Mytilus edulis: one gene and its partner. The protein of the gene in region 1 binds, or shares a complex with, the protein of each later gene. Links are inferred from orthologs where the notes say so. Each region holds a gene or a part of one and is shown on either strand. Other genes may lie near its edges.

Region 1 (3,764 bases):
TGACTTTATAACACAAAAAAATCACAGTACTAAAAGATGAAATATTGACTTTATAACACAAAAAAATCACAGTACTAAAAGATGAAATATATGGGTCAAGTGCAATTTTGTTTGTTTCTATTAACTTTAAAAAAAATTGTCACTATAGTAAATAATACAGTAAACATTTATCGCCTTCTCTAACAAAGAGCTTCGGTTCTTTTGTTCTATTTCAACCTGGTTTCCGACTGTTTAATTCTCGGAGCTGTATACATTTTTTTCATTTACCTGTGTACATCCGATTCTATTTGGAGGCAATTTGTTCAAGGCAATGGTTGACTGGCTTTCGGAAATTGCGGCCGAGTATTATCTCATCCCTTATTTTATTAATTTTGTATTTACATTGTGTCATAGATCAAATGTATTCGTTCAATTTATATTCACTTGAAATATAAATGAAAAATGAACAATTTGATACCCGATTTATATAAATCCAAGGCCGTCCGTTGGCACCAGAAGCGACGAAGCAGTGCATCTATTTTGGACGGGCAAATATCCACTTTTTGATATGGGTCGAGCTCTGACGTCCCACGGCCCCAGCTTGTCTGGCAAAACAGCCGTTGGACGTCAGAGTCAACTTGAAGCATATAATCAAATACTGAAACAGATCGAGTGTCAAAAAGTGGCATACGGCATGTAGATAGCTTGGCTAATCAACCGTTGAAATCATTAGGTAGTATTGAGTTTTGCATGTTTGTTTTTACATGTTCTAACTTAATTCCGGAATTATTTCGTGTTTTTACATCCAATATTTTATTTTTATATCAACCGGAAGTGAACTGGAATTTTGTAACCGAAAACCAGTTCTCCAGGCCACATGCAAATCGCTAAAAAATTGTATTTCGTTAAGTTATCATTTAATTTTAGGGTTTTTATGTCAAAATGAAAGTAATATGCAATGGGAAAATCAAAACAAAAGAAGTTTAAAGCAAAGCAGCAACAGCCAACTGGTCTTCCAAGTGTCAAAGACTTTGAAACTGAGATTGAATTTGAAGAAACGTCAACAACAAACTTTTCTCTCCAACCGATTATTGAACAGGTTTAACATAATTTTTATATGTTCTCAAACTCACTCAATCTTCTTCTTCTTCTTCTTCTTCTTCTTCTTCAATCTTCTTCTCAATCTTCTTCTTCTTCTTCTTCTTCTTCTTCTTCAATCTTCTTCTTCTTCTTCTTCTTCTTCTTCTTCTTCTTCTTCTTCTTCTTCTTCTTCTTCTTCTTCTTCTTCTTCTTCTTCTTCTTCTTCTTCTTCTTCTTCTTCTTCTTCTTCTTCTTCTTCTTCTTCTTCTTCTTCTTCTTCTTCTTCTTCTTCTTCTTCTTCTTCTTCTTCTTCTTCTTCTTCTTCTTCTTCTTCTTCTTCTTCTTCTTCTTCTTCTTCTTCTTCTTCTTCTTCTTCTTCTTCTTCTTCTTCTTCTTCTTCTTCTTCTTCTTCTTCTTCTTCTTCTTCTTCTTCTTCTTCTTCTTCTTCTTCTTCTTCCGAATACGGGAGTAGACTCCTAGGTAGGAGTGTAAAACTTCCCGGAACTTGTGTGCTATGTACATATGGACTTAATTTAAAAATAATATGACAAAGAAAAATCGTTATCAATAACATATATACATTATGTACAGTGGCTTTAAAGTTTAATAAGTTGCTGTGGATCCTTCAAGTGTTAGAGTGGATATGCCACTTTTGAAGGATTCCAGGGTGTCAGACATACCTATTGCTTCAGGTAGTGAGTTCCAGTCCGAAATAGTGCGAGGATAAAATGAAAATTTATAGAAATCTTTATTTGTGGATATTTGCCTAAATTTATGTTTCCCCCTAGTGCGTCTATCAGAAATTGTTAAGTTGTCCTTAGGAACTTCTACTAACCCCCAATTTATTTTATACAGCATAGTTAATCTAGCCTTTTTCCTTCTTAATTCTAAATTTTCCCATTCCAATGATTTTATTAAATTTGAAACTGCTCCAGGTGATCTGTCTTTATAATCATTGAAGACAAACCTGGCTGCCTTACGCTGTACCTGCTCAACCTGAGTGATGTGTTGTTTTTTGTACGGATCCCAGACAGGGGAAGAGTATTCGACGACCGGACGGACAAGTGATGTGTACGTAAGGTTCTTAACCTTACGTGTGCAGTTTTTTAAGTTCCTACGAAGAAAACCTAAGGTTTTATTTGCCTTACAAGTAATATTGTTAATATGCGTTCCCCAATCAAGATCATGGCTTATAGTTACGCCTAAATATTTACTGTCTTTTACTGCTTCTAAAATATGATTATGTAATATATAATCAAAAGTGGAAGGTTTACTTTTTTAGAAATATGAATTACATAACACTTCTCAGGATTAAAATTCATTTGCCAATCCTCTTCCCATTTTACTAAACTAGACAAATCTTTTTGAAGTAATTGTGCATCAGAACTATTATTTACATTTCTATATAATAAACAGTCATCTGCAAAAAGTCTTGCATTGCAAGTTACATGTTCGGGTAGGTCATTTATAAAGAGTAAAAATAATGTTGGGCCTAAAACTGTTCCCTGAGGGACACCAGAATCAACTGCTAATTTTGAAGATTTTACACCGTTTAGTAGTACTTGCTGTTGCCTGTCAGCTAAAAAGTCATTTATCCAATTTAAATTTTGATTTCTAATACCATAAAATTCTAATTTCTGGGCTAATCTTTTATGGGGGACTTTATCGAAAGCTTTGGAAAAATCTAAAAGTATGACATCTATTTGGTTACCATATCCCAATGATTTAGCAAGATCTTGTATGCTGATGATAAGTTGGGTCTCACAAGACCTTTTGCTTCTAAACCCATGCTGACTATCATTTAATATGTTATTAGTTGTAAGGTGTTTCCTTATGTTGCTTGTTAAAATATGTTCTAAAATTTTGCAACATATTGCAGTTAATGAAACTGGTCTATAATTAATAGCGTTATGCTTGTCACCTTTTTTAAATATAGGTACAACATTAGCCTGCTTCCAATCATTTGGGATTTTACCAGTATCAATAGATTTTTGGAAAAAGAATGTCAAAAATGGAGACAATTCTTCTGCAAAATTATGTAAAAAATATGCTGGCAGATTATCAGGGCCAGTGGCTTTATGTGGATTTAAGTTTTTAAGTAACTTTAATAAGCCATTATTACTAATAAATATGTCTGGCATAGTGGGGTGGGGACTTGTACCTTTATTTGGCATAGAGGATGTATCTTCGGTAGTAAAAGCCTTTTTAAATTGTTCGTTTAGGATGTTAGCTTGTGTATTCGGCTATAAATTCATCCATGACAATCCACTGCACAGGCTAGGTGTAAATAGCACCAAATAACAATACTGTCTTACCCAAGCTTGGGAGTCCATACTGACCAAAGGCAAAGCACAGTTTGTCCAGGAACTTTCTATACTAGCGGGACTCCTCACTTATAACAATGTCTATCAGGGGCGTAGCTAGGTATTCATTCAACTGTAGGCACTAATCAGCAGAGGGTCTGGGGCCGCTTAAGGCCCCCAGCAGGTCCAGGGCAGAGCCCTGATAGGGGGTTCAGAGGGGAAAAGCCCCCCGACGAAATTTTTTTTAGCGTTTTTGCTGCAAAATTTTATGTACAAAAATATAAAATTTACTGGTTATTTAATCATGATAATTATAATATACATGATGAAAAGTTCGAAGAATTATAAATAATTTACCATAACATCTGACTGGTGAATGGTGAATCAAAGAACGCAGTACAA
Region 2 (3,764 bases), on another chromosome or scaffold:
TATGTTATAACAATTTGGCCTCTGAATATTCCTCTATTTCTGATATACCGGGTAGTATAAATATAATAACAGTTTGGTCTGATAACTTTATCCATGGCATTCTCTTACTTATGATTTTATCTGTGACAAAGTTATAAAAGTTTAATTCACATGGCCCTTTGGAATTAATTCAGTTGTATCCATTTTCAACCATTAAGAATTCAAGATTTATCTTTTACCAATACCTTCGACTGTTTTCTGCTCTTTGGTCAGATTGTAGTCTCTTAGACTCATTACCGATTTCTATTCCCAATTTCATTATCGATATAGTTACTAAAATTTAGTCTTTTACAAATATCTTTAACATGGATATATATGGTATCACTATGTATGGTATTTTAAGTTCATCTCTAATTCTTATCTTGAATATGGTAATTTATCTTTTATATGGATGATCCTTAAAGTTGGTTATGGCAATTTTATGTATTATCTCTTACTAATATCTTAATCTTGGATATGGTAGTTTAACTTTAATTTCTTACTAGTTCCTTTAGTATCTGTGACACAGTAATGCTGGTATTTCCACCTTTGATAAACATGGATGATTTTGTATTTTCTGTAATCTTGCCATCTCTGTTCTCTAAAAATCTTCTTCCTTTTTGTGTTTTAGGCTTTCTGTATTAAAAAAACATATATGTACAAATGTAGTGCATTTAAGTAACTGCTAGTAGTCCTTTATTAACTGGTGTATTATTATCATTTCCCTTAGTTTCTTCTGTTACCATGGTTACCTATTCTGAAATTGGACTCAGATTTCTATAATGCTGAGTTTTACTCGGCATATTGCTGTGTACTTGTTTATTCTGCCTTTGCTAGAAGTAAAGTGGGAGGGTTCAGATCTCACAGTGGGAGGGTTGAGATCTCACAAAACGTGTTTAACCCTGCCACATATTAGTTCATTTATCATGTTTATATGTTTCAGAGTTCAGTGTCTACTGAAGTGTAACTGAACTAGTACAAATTTTTGTTTAGGGGCCAGCTGAAGCCCAACTACAGTTGTTGGATTCAAGACCCATTTTTGGCCATGGGCTCTTTTCTGCTTTTTGGTTGGGTTGTTGTCTCTTTGATACATTCCCCATAAAAAAGTTTCCATTCTAAATTTTATACTGCCTGAGGTAGCAATACACAGTTAGAAATTTAGTTTCGCATTATGGCCCCTGTGAATTTTTTAAATATGAAAGTTTTTGTACAATAAAATTGATTTTTAGATAATTGAAGAATAATATAGCCTTCTTAGTGGGTTTATATGAACATTTAGATTGTTTTTAACATGTTTTATAGGCCATTTATATGATTGACAGTCCGTATTTTCCTATCCGTACCGTCCATAGGTCCATAAATTATTGTAGTGTTTATCAACAAAGATTTTGCGCTCGATCTTTTCAATTCAATTTTATGGAAAAACGAGCAGAAATGCATATGATTTTTTTGGACCACTTGATAGATATAAACCTATGGATTCAGGAAAGGTATCACTGTAATTGATTGAAATTTTCCTTTAGACCAAATTTTGGAGACTTTTGTGACATGTTCACCCCCCCCCCCCCCTTTTCTGCTATATTTTGTATCTAAGAAATGCAGATTGTTGCCATGGTTACACCCAAAAGGGATTATATTTTACCCTTATGACCATTAGAAATCAAATCTATGGAAGATTCTCTTTCTATAACTATATACATGCATAACACACATATAAAGCCTTCTTTGTTAGACAGGAGGGGAAAGAGGGTGTTTAAAAATTATGAGTGTCAATTTTAAGTTTTTTTCCTAACTGTGTATTGCTACCTGAAACCTAATTAATTCTTCAGGTGACCGCATTAGACCTGATTAGTTCAGTCTGTTTAAAATCATGATTGCTGGTATAACCAGCTTTGTTATAAAGTGAAATAAAATTAGCTTGTGACCTTAGATTTCGTGTGTGTTTTGTCAAGAATGATCTAAAACAAGGTCAAATATGGTTAGGTAGAGGGTGTGGATGTTGGGAACTGTATTCATATTATTAGTTCAATGTTATTGTAGCAACAGAGCAATGTGACTAGCTTGATAATTAAAATTGTACATAGTTTTAATCACAAATTTAAAATTTTCATAGCAGTTTAATTACATTTCGTTTAAATTGGTAATGGGGTAAAAAAAAAATGTAAATAGTCCACTTAAGGGAACAATATCATGAATATGTAATCATCTGATGGAATAATTGTATACTGAAAGAAGAAGAAGAGCTGTACAAATTGGAATTTTTCTTCTTTCTTTTACAGATCTTTACATGTTGTAGAGATAAATGACAAGGTTTTTCCAAATGTGTTCATTTTTTTTACACTGATAATAATATTTCATAACCTACACTACTCTTTGCATGACCATTTTTTCTGTGTCTGTTTCTTGTTTACAAATTTTCCACGTGTGAATCTAATGTTAGACACAACTTCGGTAAGACGTGCAAAACAAATTCCGGATTAGACTAGACTTAAGTAAATCGGGCTCAAAAATAATATTTAAACAAATACATTTATTATTTTGATAGAAAAATAATGAAAGAAATGTGATTTAAACAGTATGTTAATATCTGATAAAAATTTGAAAAAAATATATAAAAAATATATAAAGATCGTTGTTGTTTATTCTTTTATCGGTCATTTTCGGTTTTTGTTTTAAAATAAAAGTTGTCTCCCATATTTTTGTCAAGTACGTCACAAATTTATGAGCACAAAGAGCACATGTTGTCCAAGGCAACCAAGAAGCTTTACTGAACAATTTAGTTAAATTACCGTATTTTAATTGTTTACATACCAAACAGACTTTATCAGTGATAAAATAATCGTAAGTTTAAGTGTCTATAGAACATTTGCATTGATAAATTTTATGAAAGATAATAAATTGGTTGTAAAAGTACAGTAAAGATGTTTTGCACATCAATAATTTGTCAATTATATTCCCATTCATGTTCACAACTGTCAATATTATATGATGTTACATTGTTGGTCCTCTGTTATTTTAGGGCTCCCTTTACTTAAGGGTTGGGGAATTTTTACTTTAGGTTCTATAGCTATATTTTTGGGTCAGGGACTGTGTAAGCTTAGTAATGGTTAGGTATACGTAATGTCATTAAAATGATTAAACAGGGTACTTACGAATCCGGGTCCGTCCGCCCAGATTCTGGTTCACCCTAGTTTCTGTTCGCCCTAATACTTGTTCGCCCCGAGTCCGTTCGCCCTGATTTTATTTTTTAGTATATAGTGTTGCGTTGTGTGTACATGTATATAATTGAATGTGTTGAAGTCAGTCTACAATTTGGCCGAATATTTACGATGTGACATGTTGTTTATAGCTAGCTGCTACTAGGACTAGGTTTTAAGTTTCTGTACATTCACTATTGAATTGAATTACTATTAGCTGGGAACAGTATATCTAACGTTAATATATATGTTTCTGCTATTAGCAAGGATTTGTATAGTTAGACTATTTTATTTGAGAAAAATGTTATTTTCATTATTAATCCATCAAAGACAATTCATATAGCAATCAGTGATATCAAAGATTTCAAATGATACCTTATCAGCAATCAAAATTCAAAACAGTAATTAAAAGTAATTATAAAATAAAGTGTAACGAATGCAGCCAAGAATTTTATTTAATTAATATAAATTTGGCAAATATTCTGTATTTAACTTTTAATAGATCTACATGTACATAAATTTCAATAGATATACATGTACATAAATTTC

The links. Proteins that work in one complex are often made in the same cells at the same time.
Region 2: HEAT repeat-containing protein 3-like (region 1) and ribosome production factor 2 homolog share a complex: the UniProt entries of both Homo sapiens proteins name them as parts of the hexameric 5S RNP precursor complex. The link is inferred for Mytilus edulis from reciprocal best matches to the Homo sapiens genes HEATR3 and RPF2.

What each region holds. Positions count from the first base shown.
Region 1 is NC_092348.1:29,740,586-29,744,349, reverse strand, and holds the start of HEAT repeat-containing protein 3-like, read left to right. Parts: upstream 1-800; 5' UTR 801-937; coding exon 938-1,078; intron 1,079-3,764. UniProt on the Homo sapiens protein: Plays a role in ribosome biogenesis and in nuclear import of the 60S ribosomal protein L5/large ribosomal subunit protein uL18 (RPL5). Required for proper erythrocyte maturation.
Region 2 is NC_092353.1:397,790-401,553, forward strand, and holds the start of ribosome production factor 2 homolog, read right to left. Parts: upstream 2,472-3,764; 5' UTR 2,404-2,471; coding exon 2,384-2,403; intron 655-2,383; coding exon 522-654; intron 1-521. UniProt on the Homo sapiens protein: Involved in ribosomal large subunit assembly. May regulate the localization of the 5S RNP/5S ribonucleoprotein particle to the nucleolus.